Linked DNA regions of Saccharomyces cerevisiae S288C. Changing the gene in region 3 together with the main gene of any one other region gives a genetic interaction. Each region holds a gene or a part of one and is shown on either strand. Other genes may lie near its edges.

Region 1 (3,373 bases), on a different chromosome or scaffold from region 3:
TTCTGTATAAAATCTGCTTGATCTGTTGGAATTAATCAATTGAAGAATAGAAGTAACTTAAATAAGAGAGTATTATATTTTCAACATTTTTTGGAGAAAACCCAGCCCAATTGCGGCTTATATATAACAATTCGTCCACACCTTCCCATAGTGCTTAAGAATGAAATTTCGTCAAAACCTCGAAGCTTTTTTTTTCGAAATCTTCGATGGAATGTTCTAGAAAAAAACTTCGAGAAAGTGAATCGGAAGAACTTCTCGGAAAAAAAAGCTTCGGAAATACTACGAATAAGGGCCCAAGAGAGAGTAAGAATGCAGTGCCATGCAGTCAATTCACCACTGTGAGACCGTAAAAGGGTTGGTTGAGTAACTCAATTCAAGGAATAAAGATATAAAATTGATAAAAAATATATAACAAATTGTAACAAAAAGCAAAAGAGAGGAGTGGAATGTTATACAAAGTAATTAGAAGGTATTGAACTTGTAAAAAGTAATAATAAAACTCAATTCTGCTTCTTGGTCACTTGTGGGGCACCGCTTAAGCGGTACTCAGACAAGCGGATCAAGCTCATTTTAATTGCATTATAAGCTCTTTTGACGAATGGTGGGATAGATGGGTGGCTTATGATCCCGTCCATTCTAACTCTCCATTGAGCAAAGGCGGCTTTCATGTACTTGGAGTTTTCGTATCTTAACTTAATAAAGATGGCGTACACAACAAGTATGATCCAAGACCTTTGGAAGCACAGAATGGCTCTGAAAAGGACCAAAATGAAAATAAGCAGCTCAGCAGTACCGACCCAGTGCATGCACAAGTCATTGTACTGAACAACAAACTTGTCGATGAAGCTGAGGATCTTACTTGAATCTTTACTGGAAAGGTGGAAGACTTTTGGTAAGAGAACTTTTTCAACGTAGATTAAAACATGGAATACAGCAAACGCGAAAAATGGGATTAAGCTGAATGAAAATCTTGGAGTGAACAACCAGAAGTTGGCCAAAACCAAATAAAGCACGTCTTCACTCTTTAGGAGTCCAGCAACGCGTGATTTTATGGAAGCCTTAGTGGCAGCGGCATCTTGAGTCTGCAATGGTTCATTGCGGGTGAAAAATTGCTGGTAAATGATGATACCGAAAGATTCGATGACACCGAGATATGCCGATCTGTAATAAAATTCTGACATCTTGAGCAGGTAAAGAATGGAGCTGATCAATACGACGGAATGACCGGTAAACCATGCAAACTGCAAGCTCTTGGCTACTGCCATGAACCTTTGCACGAGCGACTTATCTCTGGCAGGGAGGTTTGGGGGGCCTTGGTTATTAGCGGGTCTTGATGACATTATACTGACTATTCTTGGCTAGTGTTTCTTGCTCCTTATGAATAGAGAAAAATGACTTTTTTTAGATGTAGTAAGTATGTCATTTCAGGGATGGTCTGCTTGCTCTTTAAATATTTTTTCACCCTTTTAAAATGGGGCCCTTTCGCCGTACCAAAGAAGGAGAAATATACATTACGTATGTAGGTTGCTACATTTTACACAAAACTATCAATGCCTTCTAGGCTTCTTCTTGACCAGTTGAGAGAGATCATTGAAGTCACCAAGGGGCTTTTCGAGGGCGGGGAAGCCGATGGAGGTCGTGGGCTGCGAAAGAGGCCTCTTGGAGCCGTGCTGCTGATTTTCTTGCACCTCATCAATATCGTCTTGAATCTGTGCGAGCCTTGCCTGCTGTAACTCGCTGTCCTTGGGTCTTGTAGTCATGTGTTTTTCAAGCAGAGCCTTGGCATGCTTGAATCTTTTTAGTTTGTCCTTAGCCGGCACCTGATCAACCCACCTTAAAGCATCACACACCAAAAATTCTGCTTGTATCACCTTCTCAGTTACTTGTTCTGCGGGTTTCAAGGTCTTGTAATAGCCAAGCGCCTTCAAGTAATGATGAATGGCTCTACTGAACATCTCCGCCTCCCTTTCGATGTCACCCATCAGGATATACACATCACCGATGCGCAATCTGCTGTTCTCGGTTAGAGATTGGCCATCTGCTGTAGGGCGGCCCAACAGCATCAAGGCCTGCGCCAGTAGGTCCAAAGCATTCTCATACAGATCATTTTCAAAGTAAATGTGGAAACCAGACTTGCGAAGTTGCGATACGTCTTCAATTTCATCGTCATGTTCATTCGCTGGACTGAAGTTAGCCAATTCGTGCAAAGCTAAGCGTTCTTCCTCTTTCTCCACGTTTTCTTCCTCTTCTTCGCTACCTTCGCCACTGTCCTCACTATCACCACTGTCGACATCACCAGTCAAGTCTTCCTCTTCTTGGTCGAATTGGAACATCCTAGAATTAGGAATTTCTGTTTGACCGTTCTCGTTCCCCTCTTCTCCATTGCTCACATCAGACTCAGGCTCAGACTCAGACTCAGACCCAGATCCATCGTCACCTGCCAGAAGAGCGTCCCCAAACAGATTACCAGAATTCTGTACTTCCATGTTGTATACAGCTTGTGCGAATATAGTAAACAGTTCAGGATCAGGCAACAAACCATCTTTTGGGAGAGAGTCCAAAGTTTGTTGGCAGCGTTTAGCAGCTTCTAAGAACTTTTTCTGTGCGAGTAAATCTTTTGCAATTTGAACCTGTCTTTCCATATCAATTTGAACTTTATGTCTGCTAGTTCCGTTTGCCAACACGTCTTCTGCCCTTAGTTTCATATTCTGTTACTTCTAGAAGGAGACCTCATCGCCGATGTTACCTCAAAATTGAGTAGAATGAAATAATACAAAATTGGAAAAAACGCGAAACTTCAGTGCAGTAACATATCGTTCCGACATTCTCTGAGAAGTGGTAAGATTCCACTGCCGGGGAGCTACGAGTGCTCTTGCAAGTTTTTAGACACTGCTATATCCTTCGACTACGTAACCCCATTTTTTTATTTTTCTATATAAAAACATGCACTGTATACATATAATCACGTAAGTTCAAGTCGTGCTTAAAACGGGCACAGAAAACTAACTATGAGTTGCCGTACCATACATAAACTAGGAGAAGGTAGCGCAGTTCTTTTTTTTTACCAAAGGTTTGCACAAAAAAGATGGTCTAACGTAAGTAAGTTATCAATAAAACTGTTAAAAGTAGTATAAGAATCTTGAGATAGGCTTATTATTATGACTTTTTATGGCGGAAAAGGAAGAAGAAATACTGCGCCGGGTGATGCGTGACGCGTTTTTGGAAACGATGAGAATAAACTTTGAAGTATTTTGAGAATAATATTCTATTATCGAGTTCTTTCAGCAGAAAGCAACACATAGCTACGTATAGTTCGGTAAGATAAATTTGGTCAGAAGCGTGTGAAAGACGCTGAGAAACCACGTGAGACGAA
Region 2 (5,056 bases), on a different chromosome or scaffold from region 3:
TGGCGTTGTTTGGACGACAGCCCCTAGTGATAAAGAACGAATGGTCACTACCGCTACTACTGGCTGGTGTCCTTTGGCATGTTCCCGGCCCAGCGCAGGCGCGACGTGTGCTGGCGGAGTTCCGTCAAAGTTATCGCGGGCTGCCGCTGCTGGATGCCGAACTAGTGATAAAGAGAAGAGGATTTGAAATCAACACATAAATCTGGGTGGAGCATCGCTGTAACAAGGAACAACGCGTGCTAGCAAGCGGTAATGAAATACAAGGAAATCAATTTCTTCAAGGGCCATCCGAGCTCGAGGTTGCTGCCTCGAGAAGCAGTAATTCAAGCGACTGCGGCTATATTGGGGCCCGAGACCAGGGAGTACGATAACGACCCCTATAACAGGCATCCGCTGACGTACGGTTCGGACGAAGGTGCCCTGTGGGTGCGAGAGCAGATTTGTACGTTTCTGAATGATCAGCTGTTTAAGTTCGAAAATGGGGCTCGGAGCAGGACACGGGCAGACTATTTGAATCTGAATAGCGGCGCTTCGTATGGCATGCTGAACATCCTTCTGCAAACAACCTTGCCACATAACGGGTATACCAGGCAGGCGTTCATCATCACGCCAACATATTTCTTGATCAACAATTGCTTCACAGATGCGGGATTCAAGGGGAAAATGACCGCCATCAACGAGCAGGGCCACGACTCGATTGATTTCGAGTCGTTGATTTCTGCCCTTGAGCAGCACGAGGCGGAGCCGCAGCCCCATAGTACCACAGAGATGATTCAGGGGCCAAAGTTGACCAAGAAGGTCTACAGGTACGTTATGTACTGCATCCCGACGTTTGCAAACCCATCGGGAAACACATACTCGCTTGAGACCAGACGCAGACTTATCGACATCGCTCGGAAGTACGACATGCTGATAATCACTGATGACGTGTACGATATTCTAGATTACACGACGCCCTCAGATGAGCTGCCCTCTCCGCCCCTAAGGATGGTGCACATAGACAGAAGTACAGCGCCCTCCGGTGAGGACTCGTTCGGGAATACAGTGTCCAACGCAACTTTCTCCAAGCTGATCGCCCCTGGGCTCAGATTTGGATACCATGAGTCAATCAACGCGAATCTCGCCAGACAGCTATCTAAAGGTGGTGCAAACGTCTCTGGCGGAACTCCCTCACAACTGAACTCCATGATCGTGGGTGAGATGCTGCGTAGTGGTGCCGCCCAGAGATGCATTGCACATCTGAGATCCGTATACTCCGAGAGGGCCACTGTCTTGACCTCGGCGCTTAAGAAATACATGCCCCTAGGAACCGAGATTATGCCATTGAAGGGCGGCTATTTTACTTGGATCACTCTCCCACCAGCGTACAATGCCATGGAGATATCCACTATTCTTGCCAAGAAATTTAATGTCATCCTTGCCGACGGCTCCAATTTCGAGGTCATCGGCGATGAGAAAAACTGGGGTCAGTCATGCTTTAGGCTTTCTATTAGTTTCTTAGAAGTTGATGATATCGACAGGGGCATTGAGCTGTTTGGTGCTGTTTGCAAATCTCATGCGATCACCAATAACATAACTATGTAGAAGGAATACGTATATAGGTGAACGGTAATAAGAGGGTAATTTTTCTACGGGCAAAGGCAAGGAAGAAAAAGAAAAAGAAGGAAAAAAATATAATGTGATAAAACAAACAAGCAGCGAAAAAGCGAAAGGGAAGAGAAGTGTTTCTAGAGAAGAAAGTCATTTTAATAGTAAGTCAGACTCGTCTGCTACCATCATCCAGGTACCGCTTTCCTTTCCATCATCATTAAAAAAAATGAACATGCAAGACGCTAACAAAGAAGAGTCGTACTCGATGTACCCGAAAACCTCTTCTCCACCACCACCTACGCCAACCAATATGCAGATTCCTATTTATCAAGCGCCTTTGCAGATGTACGGCTACACTCAGGCCCCATATCTATACCCCACACAAATACCTGCCTATTCGTTTAATATGGTCAACCAAAACCAGCCAATCTACCATCAAAGTGGCAGCCCACATCACTTGCCTCCGCAAAACAATATTAACGGCGGAAGCACTACCAATAACAACAACATTAACAAGAAGAAGTGGCACTCTAATGGCATTACCAATAACAATGGAAGCAGCGGTAATCAAGGCGCCAACTCTAGCGGTAGCGGCATGAGCTACAACAAATCCCACACCTACCATCACAATTACTCTAACAATCATATCCCCATGATGGCCTCTCCAAACAGTGGCAGCAATGCGGGCATGAAAAAACAGACCAACTCTTCCAACGGCAACGGTTCTTCGGCTACTTCACCATCGTACTCTTCCTACAACTCTTCTTCACAGTATGATTTATACAAGTTTGATGTCACTAAATTAAAGAATCTCAAGGAAAATTCATCAAACTTGATTCAATTGCCACTGTTCATAAACACTACGGAAGCAGAATTTGCTGCGGCAAGTGTCCAAAGGTACGAATTAAACATGAAGGCTTTGAACCTAAACTCTGAAAGCTTAGAGAACTCATCTGTAGAAAAGAGCTCTGCCCATCATCACACAAAAAGCCATAGTATACCAAAGCATAATGAGGAAGTAAAGACAGAAACACATGGGGAAGAAGAAGATGCTCATGATAAAAAACCACATGCGAGCAAAGATGCGCACGAGCTTAAAAAGAAAACTGAAGTAAAGAAAGAGGATGCTAAGCAAGACCGTAACGAAAAAGTTATACAGGAACCTCAAGCTACTGTTTTACCTGTAGTGGATAAGAAGGAACCAGAGGAATCTGTTGAAGAAAATACTTCCAAGACATCTTCACCTTCACCATCTCCTCCAGCAGCAAAATCCTGGTCCGCCATAGCATCAGATGCGATTAAAAGTAGACAAGCTAGTAACAAAACAGTCTCCGGATCGATGGTCACTAAAACACCAATTTCTGGTACGACCGCAGGCGTTTCATCAACAAACATGGCTGCGGCGACTATAGGTAAATCCAGCTCTCCCCTGTTGTCCAAGCAGCCTCAGAAAAAGGATAAAAAATACGTTCCACCTTCTACAAAGGGTATTGAGCCACTGGGTTCGATTGCGTTAAGAATGTGTTTTGATCCCGATTTCATTAGTTACGTTTTACGGAATAAAGATGTTGAAAACAAAATACCAGTCCATTCCATTATTCCAAGAGGCATAATTAACAGAGCCAACATTTGTTTTATGAGTTCTGTGTTACAAGTGTTACTCTACTGTAAGCCATTTATTGATGTAATTAACGTTCTCAGTACACGGAATACCAATTCAAGAGTCGGCACATCATCCTGTAAATTATTAGATGCTTGTTTGACTATGTATAAGCAATTCGATAAGGAAACCTATGAGAAAAAATTCCTAGAGAATGCTGATGATGCTGAAAAAACCACGGAAAGTGATGCAAAAAAATCATCAAAATCCAAGAGTTTCCAACACTGCGCCACTGCCGATGCTGTCAAACCTGACGAATTTTACAAAACTTTGTCTACTATACCGAAGTTCAAAGACTTGCAATGGGGCCATCAGGAAGACGCAGAAGAATTTTTGACCCACTTATTGGACCAATTACACGAGGAATTAATTTCTGCAATTGATGGCTTAACCGATAATGAAATTCAAAATATGCTGCAAAGTATTAATGATGAACAATTGAAAGTTTTCTTTATTAGAAATTTGTCACGTTATGGAAAAGCAGAGTTTATCAAAAATGCTAGTCCTAGACTGAAGGAGTTGATAGAAAAATATGGCGTGATCAATGATGACTCTACCGAAGAAAATGGTTGGCATGAAGTGAGCGGATCTAGCAAAAGAGGCAAGAAAACTAAGACCGCTGCCAAGAGGACTGTCGAGATTGTTCCATCACCAATCTCCAAACTTTTCGGTGGCCAGTTCAGATCTGTGTTAGATATACCGAACAATAAGGAATCTCAATCGATTACACTCGATCCGTTCCAAACAATTCAATTGGACATTTCAGATGCTGGTGTGAATGATCTAGAAACTGCATTCAAAAAATTTAGTGAATACGAATTGCTACCCTTTAAGTCCTCGTCAGGGAATGATGTCGAGGCCAAGAAGCAGACTTTTATTGATAAATTGCCGCAAGTTCTTTTAATCCAATTCAAAAGATTCTCATTCATAAATAATGTGAACAAAGACAACGCAATGACGAACTATAACGCGTACAATGGACGTATTGAGAAGATCAGGAAAAAAATTAAATATGGTCACGAGTTAATCATACCTGAAGAATCAATGTCTTCCATAACATTGAAAAACAACACCTCAGGGATTGATGATAGAAGATATAAGCTAACCGGAGTTATATACCATCATGGGGTAAGTTCCGATGGCGGTCATTACACAGCGGATGTTTATCATAGCGAGCACAACAAATGGTATAGAATAGATGATGTAAATATTACCGAACTAGAGGACGATGACGTTTTGAAAGGTGGCGAAGAAGCTTCTGATTCGAGGACTGCCTATATTTTAATGTATCAAAAGAGAAATTAAGACGGGGGGTGGTATTATAGACAAAATACATAAAAAATAATATAGCAATAATACAATACAATACAATACAATACGATAGTGAGCACGATTTTAAAAAAGAAATAGAGACAGACAGAGAAACAGAGTTACACTTTATGCTTGGCATATTTAAAAAATGATTTCGCCCAGGATCGAACTGGGGACGTTCTGCGTGTTAAGCAGATGCCATAACCGACTAGACCACGAAACCAATTATTTCTTGGAGATGAACATTTAAGAAACAAATACCTTGTAGAAGGAATGTGAATTTCAAAATATTATGGCCTTTGGCAACAATGGAATCACAACAATTATCACAAAACTCATACATCTCTTAAGATTCATTTCTTACTTTAAGTAATCATCCAAATTTAGCCAAAGTTTGATTTTACCTAAAAAAAGCAGAGGATTCCCGATTTCAATCATATGTGCACAGACGATGAGTCCAACACGTTATCGTTAACATAGTGCTCAATATTGCCA
Region 3 (4,759 bases):
GAAGATATTGGATTCATAGATTACAACCCAGATAAATTAACTACCATAGAAAACGCTTCGAATTACATTTATTTGTTTTGGGTGTCTGTATTTTCGGAACTTTTCACTTGTTCAAAGATAAAGAAGAATGAGTGGAAGAGCTTACCAACAGTTTTGAAATCAAAACCGACAAATCTGAATGACTTAAGAACATTTGAACAATTTTGGGAGACTGTATTGCATTTTTTATTCAGCAAATTCACAAATGAGGAGAAACAATCTTTAGAGAAACAGATTCATGAATGGAAAACATCTATCAATGCTATATCAACCTGAAATGTTTTGCTTAGTGTAAATCTATCAGATTTATTGAAGCCACTCACACAACTCATAAGCTTGCGATATGCATTTGCATATATTTTTAATGTCATATAAATAGTTCCCTATAGTTATATACAAACACACAGACACGTTAGGAGAACAGTAATTATAATAATAACTATAATAACAAAAAAGTAAACACGGTAAATTGAAATAAATTATTCGATCAAAAAATATTTTCATATCATTTTTCTTTTTGCTCGTTTTTTGAGAAATCTTTCATTTCAAAAGATTCCTTCACTTCATGATCTTCAACGACAAATTGCCTTAGTTTATCCTTTATTGCAGTTCTTGTTTCACCAACTGCACTTTGAACAACATTAACAACAGGGCCCCAGAGGCCGAACTTATGAATAACAAAAAAGGTTGCACCTAAGATCAAGGTAAGGGTTACAAATAAGGGGTTTCTTATGACAGCCACGAATTCGTTCCACCCTAATACGGCTAGCAAAACGTAAATCCAAGGTGGAATATGCGTTCTAGTAGTGATGATAGACCTTTTCGAATCCAGAACAGTAATGTTAATCTGCCTGCGGAATTGATCTAAAACATTCTCCTTTTGCAATTCAGTCAAGATGTGTGCGAAACGACGGGAATGAAACACACCTTCGTTGTCCCGATATATTTCGTTGTCCTCGCCGCTTTCCTCTTCAGCCATTGGTACATCAGGAATAATTTCAACGTTATCTGAGGTTACAGCAAGTGAAAGAACCTCAAAAACTTCCAGGGCATGTTCTTTTGCAACACGGAATGCCCCATCAATCTCTTCTTCTGTTTTCCACAATCTTGGAGAACCTTCAGCATCATATCTGAATACATCTTCAAACCTGTCTCTCAATATACTAACAATCGTATCTATTTTCAGGTAGTCATGTACTGTGGTATCCAAGGTTCTCCACGCCAATATTCTAATATTTTTGTAAATCTTCGCGTTTTCGCTCTCTGAAAGTCCAATTTTAAAATCATATTTATCTTTTTCCACTTGATACGCAGATATATTGTCTTTGATAGTAGATTCAAAATCGTTCATTATATCATCCCAAACCTTTTTGGATGGATGTGATAGTAAATGAATCACATGATCCTTTAATTCGGGAACCAGATTTTTTTTAATACGACCGATTTTTGCTTTCAATTCAGCATCACGTAGTTGCTTGATTCTTTCTTCAATATCGTCGGAAAATTTGCAGGTAATCTCTTCGTTTGATATTAGTAGCCCTAACTTTTTGAAGGTCTCCATTGATTCGTTAAATTCTTTCTCAATCTTACTCTTACCTGCCGCCACACTTTCTACAAAAGAGGTAGTAGCTTTGTCTCTAGAAGACACCTCCAATTTTAAATCGTCCCATAACTTTTCCATTAATGATTCCAAGAACTCATTAATTGTACCTGAAATATGTGAATTCAGCTTTGTATTTAAAGCTTCTCGTTTCTCCATATAAACGTTTCTTGCATAGCGCGATGCTTGTTCATCATATTTTGTCAGACATTCTTCTTTTAGCTTCACTAGCTGAGATGTTAAAGATCCCAAGTTACCCTTTAAAGGAGCAATCGATTCATCATATTTTGAAATGAACTCTTCTAGAGCTTCATTAGATATTTCTTCAGTTTTAAATCTAGCAACCAGAATTTGCTGAGTTGGAAGATCTAAATCCTTGTTACGTTCAATTTGATCCCAACAATTTTCTGCGTACATAGTCCAACCATCTAATGGCAACCTATGGTGATATTGAGGTTTGAAATAATAGTTTTCCGTACCTTTCATCACAAACGAATCACCTAATTTCTTGACATCCTGGGTAAATTTGTCTTCTTGCAACAACTTATGAGCTAGCCCGACAAACTTTAAATCGAAATAATCATACAGGCTAGAACCCTCACAACCAGCAGGTTTACTTAACTCTGTCCATATTTTTTCCAATTCTCTCGTAACGGAATCACTCAAACTCGAGAGTGGAGTCACACCTACATGATCTCTAATTACAAAAAGTAACAGCACCTTGTGGTCATTATCATTCTTGCCAAATAGGGAAAGGTTGACCTCAAAAACTGTTTTTAATAAAGCCATATTATTACCTTGATATAGCCCAATTTGCTGCTCCCACATATTAACTATAAGAACTTCAGATACTGCAATGGCAAATAAAGCGGCTTTTCTCTCAAAATCTTGGTCTTCACCTCTTTCTGAACCATCGGAGCCCTCAACATCTAGCACAAAAATATCTGGACGATCATTATCGATTTCAATAGTTGTATTAACCTGTTTAGTGTGAGCCAACCAAATGCCTTTAGTAGTCTGCTGCCTTTTCACCTGAGCATCCATGGTATCAAAGTTGGTGTTAAACAAGACGTTAAGTAAAGTCGATTTACCACTCGATTGAGAACCGAAAACTGAGATGACATGGTAATCTAGACCAACATCACGATTTCCAATACATTGTTGAAAATATTGTAATGCACTTTGATGAAATTCCTTCTCTTCATCTATCAACTGAATAGCAGGTCTATCAGCCATGACTAAAGTATGTCAACCGTCGAGTGAGTTAGTAGCCCGTTTGTTGAAATAAGTCAATAATTATTTACCATCAAAATACACCTTTCAGTATTTTGTTCGTTTTGTCGCTCTTCGTTAAGGTAACAAACAATGGGAAAAAAAGTGAAAGGAAAGTCAAAAAAATGAAATAATAACATGTGCGGTAAAACAACCAAGTAAACATCATAAAGGGACATAAATAATAATAACAAGCTATGGTTCCTGCTGAATCTAATGCTGTACAAGCGAAACTCGCTAAAACCTTACAAAGATTCGAAAATAAGATCAAAGCTGGAGATTATTACGAAGCGCATCAAACGTTGAGAACTATTGCTAATAGATATGTTAGAAGTAAATCATACGAGCATGCCATAGAACTAATTAGTCAAGGGGCCCTTTCATTTTTAAAGGCGAAGCAGGGCGGTTCAGGCACGGATTTGATCTTCTATCTTTTAGAAGTTTATGATTTAGCGGAAGTTAAAGTTGATGACATCTCAGTTGCTAGATTGGTTAGATTAATAGCCGAATTGGATCCTAGCGAGCCCAATTTAAAGGACGTTATTACTGGTATGAACAATTGGTCTATCAAATTTAGTGAATACAAATTTGGAGATCCTTACTTGCACAACACCATTGGTAGCAAACTATTAGAGGGAGATTTCGTTTATGAAGCTGAGAGATATTTTATGTTAGGTACACATGATTCAATGATCAAATATGTCGATTTACTATGGGACTGGTTATGCCAAGTTGATGATATCGAAGATAGCACGGTGGCTGAGTTCTTCAGCAGATTGGTTTTCAACTATTTATTCATCTCTAACATATCATTTGCACATGAATCAAAAGACATTTTTTTGGAAAGATTTATTGAGAAATTTCACCCCAAGTACGAGAAAATTGATAAAAATGGTTATGAAATAGTTTTTTTTGAAGATTATTCCGACCTAAATTTTTTGCAATTGTTGCTAATTACCTGTCAGACTAAGGATAAGAGCTATTTCTTGAATTTAAAGAACCATTATTTAGATTTTTCTCAAGCTTACAAAAGTGAGTTAGAATTTTTGGGCCAGGAATATTTCAATATTGTTGCTCCTAAACAAACGAATTTCCTACAAGACATGATGTCGGGATTCCTGGGCGGATCGAAGTGAAAAGAGCATATTTGCGAAGGAATAGATAAATATGTTTGCGGTGGCTTGACGACCATGACGTATATACATATATATGTATGTGCTAGCTATTTGTCGTCTTTAATGATAGCAGACCTATTAAGGGCCTCCAACAATTCAGGCCTCTTGGCGTCTATCAAGTTTTGTTTAGCTTCTGTATAAGAGTATAGCTTTCTATGTCTTTTGTGACATTCCGGAAATTTATCAAGGAGATTTTCAATCTCTAATTCATAAAAATGAAATTCGGTTCTTGGCGGGTGCTTTGCTACTTCTGAATCTTTTCGAGAGTTCTCGAATTGCTTAATGTCTTTGTTCCAGTCCTTAGGGGGTCTCATGTCTTCAACTGTACCCAAATTGGCGACAATTTTACCTATGCAACCAGCTTCCTCCCAAGTTTCTCGTTGGGCAGTCGTCTCGTAATTAGGCTCGTCTTTCTCAACGCCACCTTTGGGGACAATCCATCTTTTCTTGTGTGCAGAAGAAGTAATCATGAGAACTTGCTTCTTGTCGGGTGTTAAACATATGCAGCCAGCAACTAATCTTGCACCTGTAACGGGTGAGTAAACCTGGTTTTCTCTTCCTTCACGTGCTGTCTCAGAACGTACTGGACCATGATTATCCGCGGTTTTGCCCATTTTGTGTTTCCCCACGCTCTTATACTCCTACGTACTCACTGTTCCTGACCTTTCAGGCG
Region 4 (2,909 bases), on a different chromosome or scaffold from region 3:
TAATATCAATAACATTGTAATGGAATGCACTTGGCTACTATGGACCTTATACATGAGAAAAATTTAGTCCATTATGAGTATCATCATAATGCGTTCAATAATATGACTTAAAATCAAAATCAACTTACTAGTATAACGTAACCGAAGACCCCTCCTTATTTTACCCTCATCGAACACTGCTGTTCTATTAGCTTTCAGTCAGATCAGGAAATGTTATGATTTTGTCGTTTTGTTTAGCTACTTTTGTTTTCTCAAATGTTTATTCTTTTTCAAATATTATATGTATAAAAAGATTCACCGCACCAACACAGAAAGCAATCAGATAGCAGGATTCAGTTTGAGACGGGAAGTAGGCAACTATACGGAAAGGAGAATTCTGCAGCCTATACAAATTTTATTGTATACTTTTTTCTCACAATTTGCTTTTTTCAATAGGAATAATCTCAACTACATGAAAAAATGCCGTAAATATTAATAAACAGTTGAATTTTTCTTCCAAAAAACATCATTCCATCGTTATAATTACATTATAGGGCCGGGAATAATTGAATTATGATAAATGTAAACACCAGTCCGAGAATCATAAAAATGAAAACAGTAATATAAAACAAGTAACTCAATTTACTCTTGTCATATTTCCTTAATTTACCGCTAACATCCATTAAACCTTGAGAAGCAACTTGAATACCTATCTCTGCAGCTCCAAGAACTTGCTTATCTTCATCAAGTGCTGATTGAAATGCCACAGCTCCTTGCTTCAAACTGCCCACAAGTTTGCTCATATCCTGAATCAAATCCTGTTGCAACGTGTCCTGGTCCTCAATTTGCCTATCGACTGATTTCGTAGTTTCATATCCTAAACCCTTATTCTGTCCCTTCCCCAACAATCTCTTTCTCAACTCCATAACAGCTTCGCTATCTTCGTTTCTATCAATAAACTCCTCATTTGGGTATTCTGTTTGCGATTCCGTGTCAACTGCATCTACAGAATCTAAATCGATACTATATCTTCTTGTTTTTGAACTGCTTTGGTACTGTTCGTACTGTGACTCCATTATTTTGTGGGCGTCATGTTTTGTTTGCAGATATTCAAATGCTTCTCTTTGATAAGTATGTTGATACCTCAAAAACTCCTCTGAGACCTTATTGTCGTCACTTGATCCCAGTTGTTTTGTAACTGCTTTCCTTCGTAGACGATTCAAATTAGTTAATTGTTTGCTACTCAAAACGTAGGACAGAAAGGGGTCGTTGGAAGTTTCAGCCATCTTGCCTTGCTATTATGTGTCCTGTCAACCTTTTTTTATTCTCTGTGTATGTTGAAATTGTATTCTACTTTATAAATTTAGTGGTGATAAAGTGGTGAAGCTTTCCTCCGGCCATATTTTATATATACTGACCTACTTTAGGGAAGAAAAACGAACAAATCCAGACCGACATCTGTAACAGGTATCGGTCAGTATCACGCTCATATGACAAGATATAGGGAGCAACTACATGCAATCACTATACGTACGTAAATATACTCTCCTATAAAAAGTAAATATATGAGAAAAATTTCCGCCCATCTACTATCAAACTATAGACTGTGGGAATACTCAGTCATTGTTAGCGAAAAAAGGCGGGATAGAACTTATTTTAGGCATCTTGAGCTTATTTCTTAATGCGTGGGAAAAATTGTAATTTGTGAAGCTTAAGGATAATCAGACGGAAAAGCTAGCTTGGATCCAAGAAAAACTCCCGGTAACCAGGCCAGCAGCCCCTAAATGGTCATCCACTAACACAAATTACTTGAACATGTTGAAATGTGTTGAAGAGCCATGATATTTTTATTTTTTATTCGAAAGAAGAATTAAACTGAGGAAAGAAAGAGCAAATTAATAGAGGGCCGTTTTATAATATCTCTAGGACTCAAAAATTCTTCCAAGAAAATTTGTCCGGGTAACGAACATAGTTTTATTATCTTAGGTCTATTCTCAAATAACGCTGTCATTAATTGGCGAGATGAAAAGATAATAGTACACAGTTTTTTTGAGAAGATATATGTTAGTTACCGCTAATTATTTTCAATGCTAAAAACTTTGCTTTTCGCATTTTTACTTTTGTTTTTTTTGTTATGTCTCTTACCAGCTGAACTATTTTGAACTTTGTGGAATGGTGTACTTAATCTACCTTCGACGTTGTTCATCTTGAAGAAGTCTCTATCCAAGTCCTCAGCGGCATTGTACAATGCAGCTTGTTTACCACCGTGCGTAACAGATTTGGCTTCTTTTTGTGTGTCACCACCAGTGTGAGCTGAAAACGTTAGCTGATTCAAATCACGAGCTAAATCCACGATATCAATGCCTTTAGCCTTAGCAGCATTTTGCACTTGCTCCTTTCTGGTGTCCGGTAATCTGTCGAACACATATAAATCTTTGTTAAATTCTTCACACTCTTCTCTAGTGTAAGGTGTATCATCCTCTAGATGGGGCGGAGGGTTGACATACAGTAATTTCCCATTGACGTAATCTTTCAATATATAACGACTTGCTCTTGGTTCATCAGCAGAACCGTAACCTTGAGTCATATAACCACGAGCTCTGGCGTATGCGACTAACAATTCTTGAGCAGTTGGTATATCCCCATTCCCACCTTCATCCCTTGATTTGGTTTGAATATGGATACCATAAATCGCTTCAATGTAATACTTTGGTATTCTTTCTGCTACTAAACCTGCTGGACCAATATAATCACGTAATTGATCAATAGGTAAAACACCATTACACACGAGCTCACCCTTGTTATATGCAAAGTTTGGGAAGACAAGACCGGGACAGTCACAAAGCATGACAGAATCAGATAACTTAATAGTTTGGAAGTGTTTTGTTTTACCAGGCGTGGATGAAACAGAAACTTTCTTGGCACCCACG

What was found.
Region 1: mutations in SEY1 (region 3) and POM33 together harm fitness more than expected from each alone (negative genetic interaction), as found in Saccharomyces cerevisiae (3 studies listed by BioGRID).
Region 2: mutations in SEY1 (region 3) and UBP3 together harm fitness more than expected from each alone (negative genetic interaction), as found in Saccharomyces cerevisiae (3 studies listed by BioGRID).
Region 4: mutations in SEY1 (region 3) and USE1 impair growth when combined (synthetic growth defect), as found in Saccharomyces cerevisiae (4 studies listed by BioGRID, with this or other methods).

The regions. Positions count from the first base shown.
Region 1 is NC_001144.5:97,497-100,869, forward strand, and holds POM33 (nucleoporin POM33), read right to left. Parts: upstream 1,341-3,373; coding exon 501-1,340; downstream 1-500. Other genes in the region: HIF1 (Hif1p), read right to left, coding at 1,548-2,705. UniProt on the Saccharomyces cerevisiae protein: Contributes to proper distribution and/or efficient assembly of nuclear pores. Required for normal pore density in the daughter nucleus during telophase.
Region 2 is NC_001137.3:469,185-474,240, reverse strand, and holds UBP3 (mRNA-binding ubiquitin-specific protease UBP3), read left to right. Parts: upstream 1-1,816; coding exon 1,817-4,555; downstream 4,556-5,056. Other genes in the region: PET122 (Pet122p), read left to right, coding at 1-200; YER152C (2-aminoadipate transaminase), read left to right, coding at 253-1,584. UniProt on the Saccharomyces cerevisiae protein: Has an ATP-independent isopeptidase activity, cleaving at the C-terminus of the ubiquitin moiety in natural or engineered linear fusion proteins, irrespective of their size or the presence of an N-terminal extension to ubiquitin.
Region 3 is NC_001147.6:642,682-647,440, reverse strand, and holds SEY1 (dynamin-like GTPase SEY1), read right to left. Parts: upstream 2,876-4,759; coding exon 545-2,875; downstream 1-544. Other genes in the region: SWT1 (mRNA-processing endoribonuclease), read left to right, coding at 1-315; protein GET4, read left to right, coding at 3,109-4,047; polyphosphatase DDP1, read right to left, coding at 4,134-4,700. UniProt on the Saccharomyces cerevisiae protein: Cooperates with the reticulon proteins RTN1 and RTN2 and the tubule-shaping DP1 family protein YOP1 to generate and maintain the structure of the tubular endoplasmic reticulum network. Has GTPase activity, which is required for its function in ER organization.
Region 4 is NC_001139.9:315,698-318,606, reverse strand, and holds USE1 (SNAP receptor USE1), read right to left. Parts: upstream 1,266-2,909; coding exon 528-1,265; downstream 1-527. Other genes in the region: ribosome biogenesis GTPase LSG1, read right to left, coding at 2,054-2,909. UniProt on the Saccharomyces cerevisiae protein: SNARE required for targeting and fusion of Golgi-derived retrograde transport vesicles with the ER.